Saccharomyces cerevisiae S288C: one gene and its partners. Changing the gene in region 1 together with any one later gene gives a genetic interaction. Each region holds a gene or a part of one and is shown in the gene's direction. Other genes may lie near its edges. The genes, in order: MRF1, OPT2, SYH1 and ATG42.

Evidence for each region.
Region 2: mutations in MRF1 (region 1) and OPT2 are lethal when combined (synthetic lethality), as found in Saccharomyces cerevisiae (one large-scale study listed by BioGRID).
Region 3: mutations in MRF1 (region 1) and SYH1 together harm fitness less than expected from each alone (positive genetic interaction), as found in Saccharomyces cerevisiae (one large-scale study listed by BioGRID).
Region 4: mutations in MRF1 (region 1) and ATG42 together harm fitness more than expected from each alone (negative genetic interaction), as found in Saccharomyces cerevisiae (one large-scale study listed by BioGRID).

What each region holds. Positions count from the first base shown.
Region 1 is NC_001139.9:232,809-237,649, reverse strand, and holds MRF1 (Mrf1p), read left to right. Parts: upstream 1-1,691; coding exon 1,692-2,933; downstream 2,934-4,841. Other genes in the region: GPI10 (putative glycosylphosphatidylinositol-alpha 1,2 mannosyltransferase), read left to right, coding at 1-1,381; putative lipase ROG1, read left to right, coding at 3,143-4,841. UniProt on the Saccharomyces cerevisiae protein: Mitochondrial peptide chain release factor that directs the termination of translation in response to the peptide chain termination codons UAA and UAG.
Region 2 is NC_001148.4:922,950-929,453, reverse strand, and holds OPT2 (Opt2p), read left to right. Parts: upstream 1-2,516; coding exon 2,517-5,150; downstream 5,151-6,504. Other genes in the region: YPR195C (uncharacterized protein), read left to right, coding at 1,160-1,489; HPA2 (histone acetyltransferase), read left to right, coding at 6,075-6,504. UniProt on the Saccharomyces cerevisiae protein: Transports tetra- and pentapeptides. Does not transport glutathione.
Region 3 is NC_001148.4:352,334-356,973, reverse strand, and holds SYH1 (Syh1p), read left to right. Parts: upstream 1-1,561; coding exon 1,562-4,111; downstream 4,112-4,640. Other genes in the region: aspartate--tRNA ligase MSD1, read right to left, coding at 1-1,274.
Region 4 is NC_001134.8:513,129-518,335, forward strand, and holds ATG42 (carboxypeptidase C), read left to right. Parts: upstream 1-2,535; coding exon 2,536-4,062; downstream 4,063-5,207. Other genes in the region: YBR137W (uncharacterized protein), read left to right, coding at 1-455; YBR138C (uncharacterized protein), read right to left, coding at 634-2,208; GTPase-activating protein IRA1, read right to left, coding at 4,222-5,207. UniProt on the Saccharomyces cerevisiae protein: Vacuolar serine-type carboxypeptidase involved in vacuolar zymogen activation, breakdown of the autophagic body, and autophagosome-dependent protein synthesis.

The sequences.
Region 1 (4,841 bases):
AAGATTTGTTCAAAAGCTCTATTTACTTACACTTGATAAGAGAAACGAGAAGGAGGAAGAGGAGAGACGCAGCGGTTTATCCGAGATTACGAAGTTTGCACTGCTTTTAAGTTTAACTAATTTTTTTAATTGCTTTTTTATTACAAGAACGTTCATCAACTCTTTTGAAATGATTTTAACTTCTATTGCCCTCTACTACTGGGACTGGACAGGCGGACAAATGATAAAAGAGTCATCTTTTACTAAGTCGCTTATTTTTGCATTTCTGGCATGTTTGCAAAGACCCAGCAGTGGACTTATTTGGGTAATTCCCAGCATTTCCCTAATATTAAACTTGGTAGGCAAAAAGCAGTATCATTTACTTTTCATCACATTTTCCAAAGTTTTACGGTCTTTTTTTCTGGTATTTACTGCAAATGCAATTATCGACATGTATTTTTATGAAAAAGTAACGTTTCCCTTTTTCCGATTTCTAAAATTCAATTTCACAACACCATTATCAAAGTTTTATGGGGTAGCTCCTTGGCATTTTCATTTCTTTCAAAGCTTACCTATCGTATTAGGTGCAAGTATTCCCGCTTTTGCATTTGGATTATTTTTTCCACTAAGCAAAAGGAGTTTCCCAAAGAAGTATTTAAACCCGTTTTTCCAAGTGAAACTCACTATCTTGTTGAATCTGTTGGTGTACTCTACGTTACCTCATAAGGAATTTAGGTTCATCTTCCCATTACAGCCACTTTTCATATTAATATCATCATTTGGCCTTTTGAGACTTGATAGAGATTATTGGAAAAGACTATCTGGCCTAAAATCTTTACTCTGGCTTGTTCCATTCGTGTCGGTGTTCATCGCATTACTTTTGGACACATTCCACGAATCTGGATCTATCGAAGTTATGAAATTTTTACATGAAGAGCCAGAAATAGATAGTTTGGGATTCATAATGCCCTGTCATTCGACACCTGGTCAAAGCTATTTACACCGCAGTGACATTCAAGATCTGTGGTCGATTACTTGTAACCCTCCATTGCATTTACTTGGAGACCCAGAGGCTTACTCCAAACTAGAGACCTACATGGATGAAAGTGACCATTTGTATGACGATATATCGGCATTCATTTACAAAAATTTCCCACCGCCTTTTCGTAAGGATCTAAGGAGTCCAGGTAAAACATACAGCCACGAATGGCCAACATATTTGGTTGTTTTCGAGCACATGGAAAACGCATTTCTAAAGGATTTCCTGAAAGATTCATCATACATTGAATACAATAGATTCTTCAACTCTCTTGCGCACTGGGATTCAAGAAGATCAGGAGACATAATAATTTATTATAAATTACCATTCGATTATAGCGATATTCCAGCGGCAGATATTTAAATTTGTGTATTCTTCACTTATCAGTTTACTTCATTTCGCGAAAAAGCCTTTAATTATTAGTGATTTATTTACTACATGATATTAATATATGTGTATAATTATGCAATAAGGCCTCTCAGAAAATATATGTGTTACTTCTCGTTGTGCCATCTGTACTAGGCTGAGTAATTGTGTATTTCATATACTTGTTAGGAGGATTTGCTCGCTCGGAGGATAAATACAGAGCGTTAATAGTGCGTATCATATGTTTTATAATATCTCAGGAATGAAAAGTTCGTAGAGCAGAACAATATATTTCATTGGTGCAAGCATGTGGCTTTCAAAGTTCCAGTTCCCCTCGAGGTCCATCTTTAAGGGTGTTTTTTTGGGTCACAAGTTGCCGTTACTAGTGCGACTGACATCAACAACGACTAACTCTAAGAGCAACGGCAGCATCCCAACACAATACACAGAACTCTCTCCGTTACTTGTTAAGCAAGCGGAAAAGTATGAAGCTGAACTAAAAGATCTTGACAAAGACCTTTCTTGCGGCATTCATTTTGACGTGAATAAGCAGAAACATTATGCTAAATTATCAGCGCTCACTGATACATTTATTGAGTATAAGGAAAAACTAAATGAATTGAAAAGTTTACAAGAAATGATTGTATCTGATCCATCATTAAGGGCGGAGGCTGAACAAGAATATGCAGAACTGGTCCCCCAATATGAAACGACCTCCTCAAGATTGGTAAATAAACTTCTTCCACCGCATCCGTTCGCAGATAAACCTAGCTTACTAGAGCTTCGACCGGGTGTAGGTGGCATTGAAGCCATGATTTTTACCCAGAATCTATTGGATATGTATATTGGCTATGCCAACTATAGAAAATGGAAGTATCGAATTATATCGAAAAATGAAAACGAAAGTGGGTCAGGCATTATCGATGCCATTCTGAGCATTGAAGAAGCCGGATCTTACGATCGTTTGAGGTTTGAAGCAGGCGTTCACAGGGTGCAGAGAATTCCTAGTACGGAGACTAAAGGAAGGACGCACACATCCACTGCTGCCGTGGTTGTGTTACCTCAAATTGGTGACGAATCTGCTAAATCTATTGACGCTTATGAAAGAACATTTAAACCTGGTGAAATCAGAGTTGACATCATGCGTGCAAGCGGGAAAGGTGGTCAACATGTGAATACGACAGACTCTGCTGTCAGATTAACCCATATCCCCTCTGGAATTGTTGTTTCCATGCAAGATGAAAGATCTCAACACAAGAATAAGGCTAAAGCATTTACGATCTTAAGAGCGAGACTTGCAGAGAAGGAAAGGCTGGAAAAGGAGGAAAAAGAAAGAAAAGCAAGAAAGAGTCAGGTTTCTAGCACCAATAGGTCTGATAAAATTAGAACATACAATTTTCCACAGAACAGAATCACTGATCATAGGTGCGGGTTCACATTGTTGGACCTGCCAGGTGTGTTATCTGGAGAACGATTGGACGAAGTTATTGAGGCAATGTCTAAATATGATAGCACCGAACGGGCAAAAGAATTATTGGAGAGTAACTGACGAACGTAACTTTTCGTTTCTTGTAAATATCATATCGTATCTATCACTTCTGTAAATCTTCTTTTCTATTGTTCTGCGCCACGTAAGAACTGACGCACATAGTAGATGCCCGAAATATGCAAAACTCTGTGAAATAAATTGTACCGCCTCAACAGTTCAGTAAGAATAGTACACAAAGAGAGTGAAGTACGAACCGTGTTTTGCTCAAGATGTCTCTGACACCAACTAATGAAATATTGTTTCATTACAAGTCTTCAGTGAAGGTTGGTGAACTTGAGAGATATGTAATTACTTATCATCTTTATGACGGTGAGGAAATTCCACCAGATTTGAATTTAAATTCCTTGTGGTTAAAGGTGAGAAATATGAATCCGTTATCGTATAGAGCTGCGTACCTAATGGGTCCATTCATGCTTTATTGCGATGTAAAAACTGCCCAATATCATCATTCCCAAAAAATAGTTGCTTCAGTTGATTACCCCAAATTTGAACCGAATGTGCAAACTCAACAAGATTTCGTGGCTGAACTTTCAGTACATAACATACGACAGAAATACGTATGGATTGCTGATGTGATGAGTCAAATATTGTTCACTACAAATACGAACGTCACTTACGAAGTCACTATTGGAACTAGTAAAGAGTCAGTAGAAAATCCGCATGATCTGCCATCTCATCTAGGTTCTTATAGCCCTAAACTTACAGTGAACAGGTTAACTACCTTGGATTTGTGGAATCTTCCCGTTCAGATTACCACACCACAGAAAAAGAAACATCTTGTAGTTTTGACACATGGTTTACATTCTAATGTGTCGACCGATCTAGTGTATATTATGGAACAGATATACAAAGCACAAAAGAATTATCCCCACGAACAAATTGTTGTGAAAGGTTATAGGGGAAATGTCTGTCAAACTGAGAAGGGAGTTAAGTATTTAGGTACTCGTTTGGCCGAATATATTATCCAGGATTTGTACGATGAATCCATCCGCAAGATTTCTTTTGTAGGTCATTCATTGGGTGGCCTAATCCAGGCTTTCGCAATAGCGTACATTTATGAAGTCTACCCTTGGTTTTTTAAAAAGGTGAATCCAATAAATTTTATTACTTTAGCTTCACCGCTTTTAGGTATAGTCACAGATAATCCCGCCTATATTAAAGTACTACTTTCATTCGGGGTTATTGGAAAAACAGGTCAAGACTTGGGTTTGGAAAATGATGTTGAAGTAGGCAAACCGCTTCTCTACTTGCTATCTGGTCTGCCCTTGATAGAGATTTTGCGTAGGTTCAAAAGGAGGACAGTATATGCGAACGCTATTAATGACGGAATTGTCCCATTGTATACCGCATCGCTATTGTTCCTAGACTATAATGATATCTTGGAGCAATTACAGAAACTAAAGGAGAACAGCAAAAAATCACCGCTAATAAATGATGCTTCAACACCTGTGAATCAAGATTTCTTCAATAAAACTTTCATTTCGCCTCTGACTAAAATGTTGAGTATACTGGCGCCACAAAAGTTTCCTACGGAGAATGGTTCCGAAATTCCTAAAGTATCATTTTTCGAGTCAGCAAGCTCAATTCTCCTTCCTCCTTTACCTGAAAGAGCGTACATAATGGATCCAGATTCAAGAGATCCTGTAATTATTCATGATAAGATATACAATGAGGATGACATTCCACAATCCGAATTTGATATCGAAGACGGTTTTTTTGGTAAAAAGAATATACTCCTTCAGGCTTTTTTTGCAGGAAAGAAAGAACGTGCGAAGTATCGAAATTTGGAAGAAACGATTGCTCGAAGGTGGCATGAAGGAATGGCATGGAGAAAGGTTGTCGTTGCTTTAAAACCTGACGCTCACAACAACATTATAGTCCGAAGAAAGTTTGCCAACGCATACGGTT
Region 2 (6,504 bases), on another chromosome or scaffold:
ACATATTACCCACCTAATCTTGGCCTCATCTTAATTACAACAATTATAGTTCCATAAATTTAAGACCCGCGCCTGTAATAATGCTGACGCCTATCATGAATTTCTCTTCTTCTACGAAATTATGGCGACAGTAGTCTACCCTATGGACTTTCATATAAAAAAGTTCACATTTCATTTGATAATACAACTATTATTTGCGCTAAATCTGTATTACCATCCTTTCCATATATTACTTTTCAAACTCACCTGTTAGATGTCTCTTTAACAATTTGGTCCTTCTAATATATCTTACCTTGCTTTCCTTATTCGTAATATTTGCCATGCCAGAGAATCTCTGAAATGCAAAGTTTATACTTTAAAAGGGTTATTTTTGAATTTGGTAATCCTAAGCATTAGTAGATATTCTTTCACTTATTTTTTGGAAATTGTTTCGCTAGATTACTCGTGCACGCAAAAATAAATGTTTCTTGGATCCGATGAGGCGTCACAACTTGCCGCGTCTGCTGTCATTGACTTTTACCCGCTAGAGCAGTAATGAAAAAGACGTTTTTAATAAACTTACCTGCTCAACTTTAGACTTTAGCATCGAAAATTATGGGTCGTTTAGATAAATAATGAAGTTATTCTAAGCCGCACGTAGTAACAAATCTTGAAGTAAAGGACACCAAAAATTGTATTCCGTGCTGTGGAATGTTGGTGCCAGCATTAATCGAATGGTCCATTTCTTTTCTTACCTTTTTGAAGGAACTGATCCTTCAATTCATATTTTTCACTAACGAAAGAAAATAAAGATTTAGTAGGATACCAAGTACTAAAAGCAAAAAAAGAGTATAGTATTTACATAATCTACATATGTGCAAAGGCTCCTCCTTATTTAGAGAAGAAACTTTCCCTTTCCTTAACCGATGCGGTAATTCAACACGTGAATTTCAGCTATTTTAAGTTTGTTTGGTATTCACAGTTCAGAATATTTCTTTTTGAGTCAGCTCATTTCACGTATTTGCAATGTATGTCATTTAGTTGAGATGATAATGAAAGAGCCCCACGCGCTGGTGCGATCTATGATGAAAAATGTAAATACGAAACTTTACTAAAAATAAATAGGGCAGAATATAGATAAGCAAGAATAGAAAGATCACAGATTTGACTGCACAGTCAAATGAATTCTCTCATCCCTCTTTTAGTGGAAGCATCAACATACATTGTAAGAGGAGAAAGCAGCATCTCAATTGCCATTGGAATAGGGCCTCAAGCTAGCAGGAGTGTGCCGTACCACATTCTTTGCAGGGGATGTGACGGCACGGTAACAACTTTTCGTACGTGGCATACGCAACCACTCGGGCCTTGCAATACAATCATCATAGGCAGAAAAGGTAATGAGACAACCGGCGGCGCAGAACAGAGGAGGCAGCAGCACTTAACGTCTGATTCAGCAACAAAAGCGTCATTGGTGGGTTTTTGTGGGCTGTATTATTATTTCAGGAAATAGTAACTGAACGTGTCAACTTTGCATTAACGCGTTTTTCCTATTTGGGTACGGAGATATTTATGTTTTGATAAGCAAATGCTTCAATTGTGCCGTGCGCATCATCAATCCCACTCACTGAGGAACTCTATAATGAAAAAAAAACAAACAGGCAAAAGCAGATAGACCAATAATTGATATCTGATTTTTCACAAAAAATGCAGGAGAGATCAGCATTAAACGGATCCATCACATCCACCGGACGAATCCGTCTCAAATATGGCAGCCACGCTGGTGTGACACATAATATTACTGCAACACTTCTTATCTCATTATTTTTATCATGGTAAAAGAAGTCAACACTATGCGAGGAATACCAAAAGAAAATTTGGTTCACATCATGGTGTCAGTAAAAGCAACCGACAAAAATCGGGGGGTTGCTGTCCGACGTAGTTTCTTCGTTATAATTTTCAATAATCCCACATTTCGTTGTTAACCTTTTGCAAAAATTGATGTAGTTTGTTTTCCTCTTGGCCCCTGTTGTGGTTACCGAACACGTGAATCGCCATTGCGGTTGTCAATATCAGCCCATTGGGTTTTATGAAGATTCGTAACACCTTCGATTATTTAAGTTTATTCTCTTATCTACAATAATAATAGCGTTCTTTTACAATTGGACGCTGTTATCTTACTTCTGAATGTTCATGGATTGGAAATTTTCAATCATTTCACGAATTATTAGCAATGAAGATAAGTAACATTAAAAAAAATATTGATATCAACTTGCTAGGTTTCTTCTCGCTTCAAAAAAATTTATAAATGGGAATGGAACACTATCCTGTGTAAACTTAAGTCATGTCTCAAGTCAGTTGTTACTTATATTCATTCCTATCGAAACATCCCAAAAAATAATATTTGAAACACTTACAATCATACATTGAACGTCTAAACAACGGCGGCATTTTTTTAATAGCAGAAACGAACATATTAGCTTATTCTACAACTAGTAGGGTTTGTTATACGCAATATTGCTGTTGAATTATTAGAAATTATGAGTGAAACAGTCAAAGATAAAGTTATAATTGATGAGAAGGTATCCACAAAAGGTACTGTTGATTACGCCGAGGGTGCTGAGTATTCTGAGAGGCTTTCAAATCATTCATCAGACTTTTCTCAGTGGTATACGGATGAACAGATACTGCACTTTATGAAGAAGCTGGGTTATGAAAATCGCACTCTTTATGATATTCCGGAAGACGTTGCGTATATCCTCAAAAAAATGCCTGAATTGACACTTGAGGATTCCTTCAAAATACTAAAAGACTCTATCATCTATTTCAAGGATGATGAGAACATTCCACACGATCAATATGAGGAGTGGAAGAGATTGGTTGACTTGGAGGACTTGGATTCAAAAGAGGGGATAGATGAATATGATAGCTTTGACATTAGAGCATTTGCTTCTGCTATTAAATTTCATTCGCCTTACCAAGAGGTTAGAGCTGTTGTTGATCCAGAAGATGATCCCACCATTCCAGTGGAGACATTCCGAGCATATTTTCTGGCAATAATTTGGTCTGTCATCGGTTCAGGATTTAATGAGTTTTTTTCACACAGGGTGGTTTCAATTTCACTGAATACTCCAATTATCCAAATGTTTTTATATATCTGTGGTAAGGCTTGGGCTAAAACTATCCCCTGTTGGACTATAACCATCAGGGGCAGAAAGTATGGTATCAATATCGATAAACCATGGACCCAAAAAGAGCAAATGTTTTCAACCTTGTTATATGCAATTTGTCAAGGCGCGTTCTATACTCATTACAATATTCTAACGCAAAAACTCTTTTACCATTCTGCTTTCTCGTTTGGCTACCAATTTTTACTTTCGTTATCCGTACAATTTATTGGATTTGGATTTGCTGGCATCCTTAGAAAATTCGTTGTTTATCCAGCCCGTGCACTATGGCCAACAGTCATGCCAACTATTGCTATCAACAAGGCACTATTGGGTAAAGAAAAGCATGAATCTGGAATGAGCAGGTATAAATTCTTTTTCTTGACTTTTTTTATCATGTTCATCTATAACTGGTTTCCCACTTACATTATTAATATTCTAAACACTTTCAATTGGATGACCTGGATCAAGCCAAGTAACATTAATCTCGCAAACATCACGGGAGGAGTCACTGGTCTTGGGATTAATCCTATCTCATCTTTTGACTGGAATGTTATTTCGTTTAATTCTCCTTTAGTTTACCCATTTTGGTCATACTTAACACAATATCTTGGTTGCATATTAGCAGCTTTAATTGTTATTGCAGTATACTATAGTAATTATATGAGTTGCCAATACCTGCCAATATTCACAAATTCTTTGTATACTAATACTGGCCATTCCTTTAAAGTTACTGAGGTATTAGACAGTGACAATAAGCTAGATGTGAAAAAATATCAAAGCTACTCGCCACCATACTATAGTGCTGGAAATTTGGTATCATATGGTGCTTTCATTTGCGCATATCCTCTGATGATTACATGGTCGTTTATTGTACACTCAAAGTTATTGTTCAATGCTTTCAAAGATTGGGCTTTGAATTTGTGGGCCATGAGAAAACTTAAATCTTGGGTCACAATGTTCAAAAGCGATTACAGGGCGCTCGACGATTATGATGACCCACATTCTAATGCCATGAAAAACTATAAAGAAGTTCCAGATTGGTGGTATTTTGCCATATTGATAGGTTCACTTGTTGTTGGAATAGCTGTTGTAGAGCACTACCCAACAAATACACCAGTTTGGGGTCTTTTTGTTTGTTTAGGATTTAATTTTGTTTTCTTGATTCCAACTACTATCCTTCAAGCAACCACTGGTTATTCGTTTGGTTTGAATCTACTAATTGAAATGGTGATGGGGTACGCTTTACCAGGTAATCCAATCGCCATAATGATTTTGAAGGCTTTTGGTTATAACATCGACGGCCAAGCAGATAATTACGTTTCTAACTTAAAAATAGCGCATTATTGTAAGATTCCGCCAATGGCGCTATTCAGGGGACAATGTGTTATAGTTTTCATTCAGATATTTGTCAATCTAGGTGTTCTGAATTGGCAAATCTCCAATATCAAAGACTTTTGCACACCTCATCAAAACGCAAAATTCACCTGTCCTGATGCTGTGACCTACTATAATGCTTCCGTTGTCTGGGGTGCAATTGGGCCAAAAAGAATTTTCAATTACATTTATCCAATATTTAAATGGTGTTGGTTGATAGGCGCATGCATTGGCATATTTTTTGGTGTTTGGAAGCGCTGGGGTAAGTTTTATCCCAGATATTTTGACCCAATGTTATTTGTAGGTGGAATGCTTAATATGAGCCCTCCATATAACCTGATGTATTACACTTCTGGTATGATTGTTAGTTACATTTCCCAGTACTACATGAAAAGACACCATTTAAATCTGTGGGAGAAATATAATTATGTTTTATCGGCAGGCTTTTCAACGGGCTTGGTTTTATCAGCTATTATCATTTTCTTTGCTGTCCAATATAAAGACACAGCTTTTAATTGGTGGGGCAATACAGTTCCGTATGCTGGTGCCGATGGCGTTGGCTATCCTCTAAAGAACATAACTGATACAGCAAATGGCTATTTCGGCTATGCTCCAGGACACTATCCATGACTAGAACTTTTCTTAGAACGCTATCATTTCTTTATTTTTTTTTCTCCCCTGCACTTGTCTTTTCTATCAGTCACCTGCATGTATTTAGTTTTTATTCTTCTATCTATAGTACAGAGTTACTTTGATATGTAAAAAGCCATCATTTTGTCTTCATACCTGCCAAAACTATAACAGTACACTCTAGTTCAATATTTTTGACACTTTTCATGCTTCTCGCCTTTTCTCTGTGTATGCGGATGTTATCAATAAAGAAAAATGCTTTGATACCAGAATAGGAACTACATTTTTTTTTGGCTCATCGACGAAGTGATAAGGAGCCTGGCAATTGAAAATCAATCAAGAATATTTTTTGCTTCCAACTACAAGTAATGATGGTGTTTATTTTGCATGAATTTTGGTATTATTGCAGAAATACAAGTGGTAAATAGTTTTGTAAACGTATATTTCAAGTTGGAATGAGATGCGTTGCACTACTGGATAATTACTCCGGTTGAAGCATATTCAAATACAGTATCACCGTTTTTTGGGATGATTCAGGGTTAAGCCAGCCGAGTATTGAGAGAGATTGACAACATAGCATGCGGCTGATGTCAGATTTCGAACATTTGAAATTTTCTTGCCTTTATAAGACGTTTGCGAAATACAAGTTACAGGCCGACTACACAATGTATTTATTTCTATTTAATTTCTGCATTGGGTTAGCCTTTTAACGTCATAGTTCATTGTACTTCTCAGTCACTTCTTGATTTGCTTTTATTGGTTGAACATTTTTATGGACGGAACTAACGGGTGGCAAGAACTACCAATTATATTAGGGGAGCGGCAATCATTAAGAGAGGGAACGCTATAAATAGAGCAAAAAGGGCTAAGTATTGCTCTTAGTATTTTATATGCCAAGAAAGCAAACAGCCCTTTCTGTGTAGCATGTCCAACACTAGCGAAGATAACATTACCGTAAGGTTTGTAACCGAAAACGATAAGGAGGGTTGGCAAAGGCTTTGGAAATCCTATCAAGATTTTTATGAAGTCTCTTTTCCCGATGACTTGGACGATTTCAATTTCGGCAGATTCCTAGATCCTAACATTAAAATGTGGGCAGCCGTAGCTGTGGAAAGTTCGAGCGAAAAAATTATTGGAATGATAAACTTTTTCAACCATATGACTACTTGGGATTTCAAGGACAAGATATACATCAACGATCTCTATGTTGATGAGAATTCTAGGGTCAAAGGCGCGGGCGGCAAACTAATCCAATTTGTCTACGACGAAGCTGATAAACTGGGCACACCAAGCGTGTATTGGTGTACGGATGAGTCAAACCATAGAGCTCAGCTGCTATACGTCAAGGTCGGCT
Region 3 (4,640 bases), on another chromosome or scaffold:
AGATGTGGGTTTTCAAACGTGGCAATTGCATGAAAATTCTCAAACCAATTTGAATTAGCTTGTTCGTCATTTTCAATTGGTAGCACTATTGGAACTCTATAATTGTAATTACTGTTATTTGTCAGAAACGACCATCGTTCTTTGTACTCTTCCATATTTGAAAAGGCACTTCTTAGAATAATTACTTCAAAAACGGGAAATTTTTTGTTCAAATGACTAAAGGCATTGAACTCGCCTAAATTGATAATCTTCAAATCTGGCGCTCTCAAATCTGGCTTGTCAATACCATATGAGGTCATGGCTTGTTCGTAGGTCATACGAAAGATAGATACTGTGCCGTTTTCCTTTTTCGCAGGCACTAATGTACCCTTACTGTCTAAAGTCAATAATCCTCGTTTTTTGGAAAATTTACTCCATACCCCAGAAACTGTCTTTTCTATGATTTTCATGACATCTTCAGAATTAGCAAAGGCCATTTCCATATCAACCTGTGTAAACTCAGGCTGCCTGTCTGCTCTTAAATCTTCATCTCTAAAGCACCTTGCCATTTGATAATATTTGTTGACACCACTAGCCATTAAGAGTTGCTTGTATTGTTGAGGGCTCTGATCTAGAGCATAAAACGATGGTTTACCATCGGATCTCTTTGTCCTTGTTGGAACCAGAAACTCTCTTGCGCCTTCTGGGGTAGCTTTAAATAACATTGGGGTCTCGACCTCCGTAAAATCAAAATTGTTGAAGGAGTTTCTTATTTCCTTAGAGATAGATGACCTCTTCTTTAAAAAATCTTGATATTTGGGATTTCTCAATTGCAAATAGCGGAACTCAGGTGGGTATATGGCTGACAATTTAAAATCCTGCATTTGCGCTGGTTTTTTATTAGATGCATTTAACACAGTAATATCCTCCAATTGCACTTCGTACTCATCTGCGTCCTCATTTGATAGCTTCCTCTTCAAAGAGAGTATACCTACGGCTTGAACCACATCCTCTAAAGTAAAGCCTTTCAACAACGATTTGTTATCAACCAACTGGATAATGTCACCGTTAGAGTCCCTTAAAAGTCCGAAGATCAAATTTTTCCCAACTCTTTTTGGCTTCTGCTCTATCCATCCATTGAGTACTATTTTCTGGCCGCTAGACAGTCCTTTTAACTGTTTGATGGTCGAGGTGTCCTTCCTAAAGAGAAATTTTTTCTTAATAGCATTGGCTTCTGGAAAGTCTGCCAACCGTCTAGTGATTGTCTGCAAGCACACCCTGGAACGGGCCAACATGATTAAAACTTGTAATGTTTAGTCTTTTCAAAAAAGCATGCACTCAACTGAATCAAAATGTTAAGAAAACATGAATAATGAATAAATGAGGCATTCAATGCCATCTATTACTTCCTACTCCCATTTTCACCTTATTATTGTACTTTGGTACGGCAGTAGCTTTCTGAAATTTCATCTACCAAACTTTGCAAGCACGAAAAAGAAAGCAAAACATTTCATTTACCATGGACGCATGGAGAAGGTCGATTTTGCCACAGCTTGCACAAGATTGGCAGTGGCAGTAAGTGATGAATCCTATCAACTCTCTAGCGTTTGACCTTCACAGTGTTAAACTTGCAGACGCGAACTCAGACACTGCTGCATTATCAAATAGCAATACTCCAACCATGAACAATGCGGCTCTTTTGCAAAGGCCCTCCTCCATTATGGATTCTATTGGCGTCCAAAGAGTTCCATCTCCTTTTGTGCCAGGGAGTAATGCGATTAGTGGAGCCAGTACTGTTCCCTTCAATGCATATGACGCTGAAATTACTGGATCTCCGCTACAAATATCTGCTAATCAGGAAAACAATAGTGCATTTAGTGCAGCATCATCCAACCTGCATATGAACGCCAGCAGCCCTTCCGTTCTCAATAAACCCTCGAGCACATTTCCAAATGTAGCTCCTTATCTCTACAACGCAACAGGGCCTGCCCCCAACGTTGGTAATCAACCCCCACCACCGGGGATAGAATCTCAGTGGAAATACATTGACTCTAATGGTAACATTCAGGGGCCTTTTGGTACCAATAATATGTCACAGTGGTATCAAGGAGGTTATTTTACTCCAACTTTGCAAATCTGTAGATTAGCAACATCTCCTGAGCCATTTGGTGTAAATGATCGGTTTATTAGACTAGGTGAATTGACTACTCTGGTGAATAATTATCAAGACCCTTTTGTCGCCTTTGATTTCATTGTTATTAGAGCTTTGAATGCTGTTCCACTTGTTGCACCAACTTCATCAGAAAAGCAAAAAGTTGAGTCAAGAGATTTGATACCTGTTGCTGATGTGCATAGTGATGATTTTACGTATGAAGAAATCCTTGGCCTTAAATTTGAAGATGGAAGTTACTATCATGAAACTCAGGTTTGGGTTCCGGTTGACGGCCGTCATATCACAAAGGTAGATCGCATACCAAAGATATCTGCATATACCGCTCCTCTATCCACGACTTCTAGTAGATCTAATAAAACCACTTCTTCCCATGAAGAGAAGGTTCCTTCCCACGAGGAAGCTTCTCCAGAGGAGCAAGAGGTTTTTTCAGAAGAGGGCAGAACTGTTTCTAACATAACAAATGAAGAGGAATCTATTGTCAAAAATCCTACTAAGCAGGAGGAAGAATCTCGAGGAAGCGAGAAAGAGCAAAATATATTGGATCAAGTTCAACCAGAGATTGAAGAGGTAGACCGTAAGGATGTAATATCCACTGCTGATGAGCCGAAAAGCAAAGATACGCCGCAAATGACTTCTGAAGAGCAGAAAAGGTTTGCAAAGGCAGAACTGATGGCACAAAAATTATTGGAAGAACAACAAAGACAAGAAGAAGAAAAAAAGAGAAGAGAAGAACAGCGCAAATTAAAGAAGGAGAAAAAATTGAAGCAAAAGCAGAAAAAGGAAGAAGAGAAGTTAAAAAAGAAGAAGAAGGAAGAAGGAAAATTAGAGAAAGAAAAGCAAAAAGAATTGCTAAATAACATTTTAACTGGAGATACAGAAACTCCATCTTCCGAAAACACCGCAACTTCCATAACCACTAATTTGGCGCCTTGGGCTAACAAGAAACCCGAGGGTGCTGTTTATAATCAGATTTCATCTGCTCTTGAAGATTTGAAGAAGGAGAACTCGTCCAAGAAAGAAAAAAAACCTAATCGTACTCAGTTAGATCGTGAGCAGGCATTAAAACTACAGAAAGAAATATTAAGCTCGGCGCAAATTCCGAAAACTCAAACTGGTTCTGCCTGGGGTATAAAGCCACAGCAACCGATCAAAGTTGATATTAAAGGAGAATTGATGAAAGACAGTACCAAAATTAACAGTCAGTCTAAAATTAACAAGGCCAACAATGGTGATATTAAACCAGATTCCACTTTTATTGAAGAGCAGAAAAAGCTGTGGGAACAAGTTCAAAAGAAAACAAAGAAATTCAACCGCGCTTCTTCACTCGATGATTTCATTTCAAGAACGCCTTCCCCATCTTCTTCGGCATTGAACTCTTCGAATACTAGCAATGCGTGGACCACGGTTTCTTCTAAGAGCACAACCCACATCGCTTCCACCATGCCTGTCGCTGGTAACCAGTCAAAGTCATATATCAGTTTGGACACACTGCGTTCTTCTGGGGGGTTATCTACCGCAACAAAAACTAAAATGAGCGATAAGAGTAAACAAATTGGCTCATCCACTAGTATCCCGACTTTAAAGGCCCGTCAAGTTAAACCGTCTCGCATCCCTGCCTATCCCGGTAACGCTTCTGTCTCTAAGCGTCAAGAATTTTTGAGATGGTGCCGATCCCAATTAAAACTAAATACGGGTGTTCAGCCCGATAATGTTTTAGAAATGCTACTTAGCTTGCCCCCAGGTTCAGAATCCAAGGAAATTATCGCAGATACCATATATTCCTACAGTTCAACAATGGACGGTAGGAGATTTGCCACTGATTTCATCAAAAAACGTCTAGAATGCGAAGAAGAAATTAATGACCCCTTGAGCTGGAGTGAAGTATTAGCTATGCCTGAAGGCAGTTCCGAAGACTGGGAATTTCAAGTTGTTGGTAAAAAGAAAGGAAAAAGATTTTGAAGCCTTTTTGTTCCATAGTAGTTGTTTACTACGCGTGTATATCTTCTATTCAATGTATTAACTAGTATAACTCCCATCTATTTGTATAATTAATTGAAATTAAATATCTTGATAACTAATAACAGTACTAAGAACGCTACAATAATATGTTAGCGTGTGCAAACTACCTATAGCTAGTATATCGATTAAATGTTTGAAGCCACATGAATTGAGAAAGGTAAGCACATTTTTCAAATTGCAGAACGTATCATTTAGCGAATCTATCGTCTGTTTGAAGGTTCTTAATGGAGATGAGAAGTGTTTAAGTTGGTTGAGCGCATAATCATTTGTTACGTGTATTTCTTTTCTTTTTTTCTTTTTTTTTTTCGAAGGCAATGAAAAAAGAAATTTAACGAAGATGATTCTAGAAGATTCCTTTTCCAAAGAGCACTACTTGTCAATATAACCTTAGTGATAAAAGTTACTGTCCATTTTAAACTCCCTCTGTCTTGATTTTTCTTCTTATAACTCAGTTAGTTCTGATTCTTAT
Region 4 (5,207 bases), on another chromosome or scaffold:
GCTTTTTGTCTACTTTTACATATCAAGATGCCTTTGATTTGGGGACTTACATAAGAAATGCAGTTAAAGAAAATTTCCCCGAAAAACCAGTTGCAATTGATATCTCCTTACCAAATGGGCATTGCTTGTTTCGCACAGTGACCTACGGTGGCAGTGCATTGGACAATGATTTTTGGATCCAGAGAAAGAAGAAGACAGCGCTTCGATTTGGTCATTCAAGTTTCTATATGGGCTGCAAGAAAGGTGACAAAACACCGGAGGAAAAGTTTTTTGTGGACTCAAAAGAATACGCTTTCCATGGAGGTGCTGTCCTAATACAATCGGAGAGAAGTGACTACCCCTATGCCTGCTTAACTATAAGTGGATTGAAGCAGGAAGAAGACCATTTAATGGCAGTCAGCTCTTTAATTGCATTTGCTAATGAAAGTCTAGAAGAAGATTTGAATTTGGATTGAGAATGTAGGTAGAAGTAAAATAGAGGCTTGAACACCATAGAATATTTTTTACCCGTTACTAGTATAACTGTTATTTAGTCGTAAGCTTTTCATATATATATTGATTGTTTTGCCCTTGAAAAAATACACAGCACCAATGCAGTCCTGTTTGTTTTAGTGATCTCTTAGCAATGTATTTTCAAGGTTGAAAATTTAAACGATCACTATTTTGATTGCGTAAGAAATGCGGAAGTAAACCATTTATTCTCCACTTCCACTTCAATTTTCTTCTTGCTTCCAAAAACCAATTCATTGATTTAGAGCCCATTGCATCTTTATTAAAATGATGTTTGATTGACTTATCATTTTCTAGCAATTGCAACTGCAATCGTTCTATTAGTTCCTTAGAGAAGCTGTCCTTTTTTTTTGATATTTCCTTTTTAAGGTCGATCTTGTTATCTTCTATGTGCCTATTTATTTTTTTTGGAACATCTGTCGATAAATGAAACGGTTCTGCTGAATTCTCTAGATCACTAAAAGTACCGCTGCTTAGATTTGATTCATCCATAGATGATTCGAACTCGCAGTTCTCAAAGATTTTAGCGGCTTCTTCATATCTAACTGTGCATTGCTCACATACAATTTCTTTATAGTATCCTGAATTTAAAAGTCTCGAGCTAATTTCATATAGGGCCTTTTCGCAGATGACACATTTCCTCAGTTGGGAATGAACATTTAATTCCGATAGATAAAGATCATCGTAACTTTTATTGGAAGATGGAATATTAACCAAGTTAACCACCATATTTTCAATGGAATTTGGTATGGAAATATCACTTATTTCAATTTCCTCTTTGATAAAATCTAAGGGGTTGTTACTTTCGTCCCTATTTTCTTCAGTATTCCTTAATATATGGGGTATCAGTGTTAGTGAATTCGGTTCAAAGCTATTTCTATTGGTTTCCTTATTAATTTCAGAATATGAATTTTTTACTCTCAGCGGGATATGATTATCTCTTCTTTTACTTAGTTTTGATTTCAAATCTGAAATAGATACCATTTTTTTTGTTGATTTACTTTGGGTATACGGTATGTAGTCTTCAACCAGGACTAGCGGTGGTATATCCTGAGAAGTATTTTCTGTTAGCTCGTAGTTTTTTGTATCTAAACTCGGCCCATAACTGACGTACCTATTACGTTTGTTGTTATGCACTCGCAGTTCATTTACAGGATTCAACCTGGGCCGTTTTTTATTGTTGTTGTATTCGTTGTTTCCACTGTCATCTTCATTAGTTTCGATATTGCATGGAGGCGCAATTGGCAAAGACGTAAAGCTCTTGTCATCAATTAGATCTAATTTGGAAACAGATTGGTACAATTTGGATGGAATTTTAGGCTTGGCACCTATCAATTGTGAGCGACGCTTTCTTACATTCAATAACTGTTGGTTCTGATTTTCACTTTGACTATTGCCTTGGTATGGAGAATTTCTCTGCAATGGTTTTGCCTGCTTCGAAGGAGTGCTGTTACTATCGAAGATAAATTCCTTCTTTTCAAATTGCCATTGTAACATGGAGTTATTCTCTATATCCTGGACGACTGGAGGAGTCAAGGGCCTGGAAAGTACGGATCCTGTAGAAATATCACTGGCAATTATACTGAGTTTATTGTTGGTGTTGCTATTCATATTTGAGCTGGTATTGGACGAAAGCAAGGATAATGAGTTTGTGTCTACTGACTCCAACACCCTAGGCTGGATTTGATCTTTCTCCATCCTTTAATTTTAACCTTTTAATTAGTGGTTGGATCAAGTTTTCGAGACTATTCCAATCTGTGACTTGTTGGATAAATAGTTTTTGACTCGTTTAGTATAATCCTTTTTTCTAAAAGTGCTTAGAGTTCTCTAAGATGTTCTTGTTTACAATGTGAGCGATTTAGGAAATTTCCTAAAAATGGCCGAGGCGGCGCTAGCATTCTACGAAAGGTGAGATAACGCTTCGTTATCGAAAAATGTCAGGGGACAGGGGTTATATAAGAACGAAAATTGTCATCCTGCATTTTTTCTTTAAAACAGCTATACAAAAAGTGATACCGACATACAATGAAGTATCTAAACTTAGTTTTCGTGCTTCAGCTTCTTATTAGCATCAAATACGCCTCATTCGGCCGAGCCTTTTCTCTTTTTGAAGATGATACCACCTTTGCCAATTTGGATAAACAGCTAAAGCTTCCACAGAATACACAGCAAACCCTTAAATTGGACCGTTTGAATCACGATGATCCGCTGTTTACAACTTTTATTTCTTCTGTGGACACAGATTACAGTTTGAGACTTAGAACAGTAGATCCTTCTAAACTAGGAATTGACACCGTAAAACAATGGTCGGGTTACATGGACTATAAGGATTCCAAACACTTTTTTTACTGGTTTTTTGAAAGTAGGAACGATCCTGCTAACGACCCAATTATTCTTTGGTTAAATGGTGGACCTGGTTGTTCCTCGTTTACTGGGTTGCTATTTGAACTAGGCCCCTCATCAATTGGCGCCGATATGAAACCAATCCACAATCCCTATTCTTGGAATAATAACGCTTCAATGATCTTCTTAGAACAGCCACTCGGAGTCGGCTTTTCCTATGGTGATGAAAAAGTCTCCTCTACAAAATTAGCAGGCAAAGATGCGTACATTTTCCTGGAATTGTTTTTTGAAGCTTTTCCTCATTTACGCTCCAACGATTTCCACATTGCAGGCGAATCCTATGCAGGACATTATATCCCTCAAATTGCACATGAGATCGTTGTCAAGAACCCTGAAAGAACGTTCAATTTAACTTCAGTTATGATTGGTAATGGTATCACAGACCCTTTGATTCAAGCAGATTATTATGAACCAATGGCATGCGGGAAAGGGGGCTATCACCCTGTTCTCTCATCAGAAGAATGTGAGAAAATGAGTAAAGCTGCAGGTCGTTGTCGTAGGTTGAACAAGTTATGTTATGCTTCTAAATCAAGTTTACCATGCATAGTCGCCACTGCTTACTGTGACTCTGCACTTTTGGAACCGTACATTAACACAGGACTCAACGTCTATGACATTAGAGGGCCCTGTGAAGATAATAGTACTGATGGTATGTGTTATACAGGTCTCCGCTATGTCGACCAGTATATGAATTTTCCTGAAGTTCAAGAAACGCTAGGGTCCGACGTGCATAATTATTCTGGCTGTGATAATGACGTGTTCACCGGATTTTTGTTTACGGGCGATGGAAGTAAACCATTTCAACAATATATTGCTGAATTATTAAATCACAACATTCCGGTATTAATATATGCGGGTGATAAGGATTATATTTGTAATTGGCTGGGAAACCATGCTTGGTCCAATGAGTTGGAATGGATCAATAAACGTAGGTATCAGAGAAGGATGTTAAGACCATGGGTCAGTAAAGAAACAGGTGAAGAGTTGGGACAAGTCAAGAACTATGGCCCTTTCACCTTTTTGAGAATATACGATGCCGGTCATATGGTGCCCTATGATCAACCGGAGGCAAGTTTGGAAATGGTCAACAGTTGGATTTCCGGTAATCGTGCTTTTTCGGATCTTTCCACCTTGGAAAATGCTAGTTAGTAGTGCTCTAAAAATGTTTCACTCTTAACCTTGCAATCATTATACTTTACACAAATCTCTACGTTTCATTTAATTTAAAATCTACAATCCAACAAATATAAAACAAAATATAATTATAAGGAAAAACGTATATAATCACTGCAATACTCTAATTTAAAATTAGGAGCACGACATTCTTGCCAGTATCATTGTTGCTAATCTTTTTCTCTCATAAATTGCCACTTGATGTTCACCCTCTCCTTTTAACTTTTCTATATGTTCCTGATCAAAAATATCCAGAGGCTTCACAACTGACAAGCCTCTCTTTTTTAAAAGTTCGACCATTTCATCATTAAATTCCTCTAGGTAATTAAACTCACTGTGTGTAACAAGCATCCCAATCAATTCAAAAGAGACAGCAACCGCTTCAGATGATTGTTCTAGGGTTGATAACCTCCTGAATTCCTTTCTAGTCAGCGTATAGAACCTGAATACACAAATAGGGTTGACTTTGAGCAAATACCTCATCAATAGAGCAAAACGGAATTTACATGGTTCGTCTGACATAACACAGCTAAACAAAAGTGCTCCTTGGTATAAGACTATATTAGATTTATCTGAGTCTGAACTTAGCCAGTTGATCAAAGTAAGTGGCACTTTTAGTGTATTATTTAAAGGTACCAGTTCATCTTCGAAGCCGACTTCAAGTAACAAGGTAGAAAGTTGTTCAGGACTTAAGACCAAATGGAGTAAGAAAAGGTAACAAAGATAATCGGAGGATTTTGGGTTGGACTTTCTTTCGTAATATGTATTCTTGAAAAGGGCCTGTAGACAATCTAATGCGGCTCCTTTTACGACAGGAATGGATAAACCGTTTGCAATGAAACCTAAAATAATATGAGGAAAATTATCTTCGTTCCATATGCATCCATTGTATGACTCTAACTTAGCCAAAAGCGTAGCAGCAAAATTTCTAGATTCCATTAATTTTTTGGCTAGCGATTTGCCATCGAATCCAAGTTGAAGATGGACCGTGTACAGTCGCTTCAAACAATTTACCATGAACAGGAGACCACCTTCAAAGAGTAAAGGATGAGGGGATTCAACACATATTGTAGCAAGCCAAAATAGCTCTTTCATTAATTCTGAAGAAGGATCTAACCCTT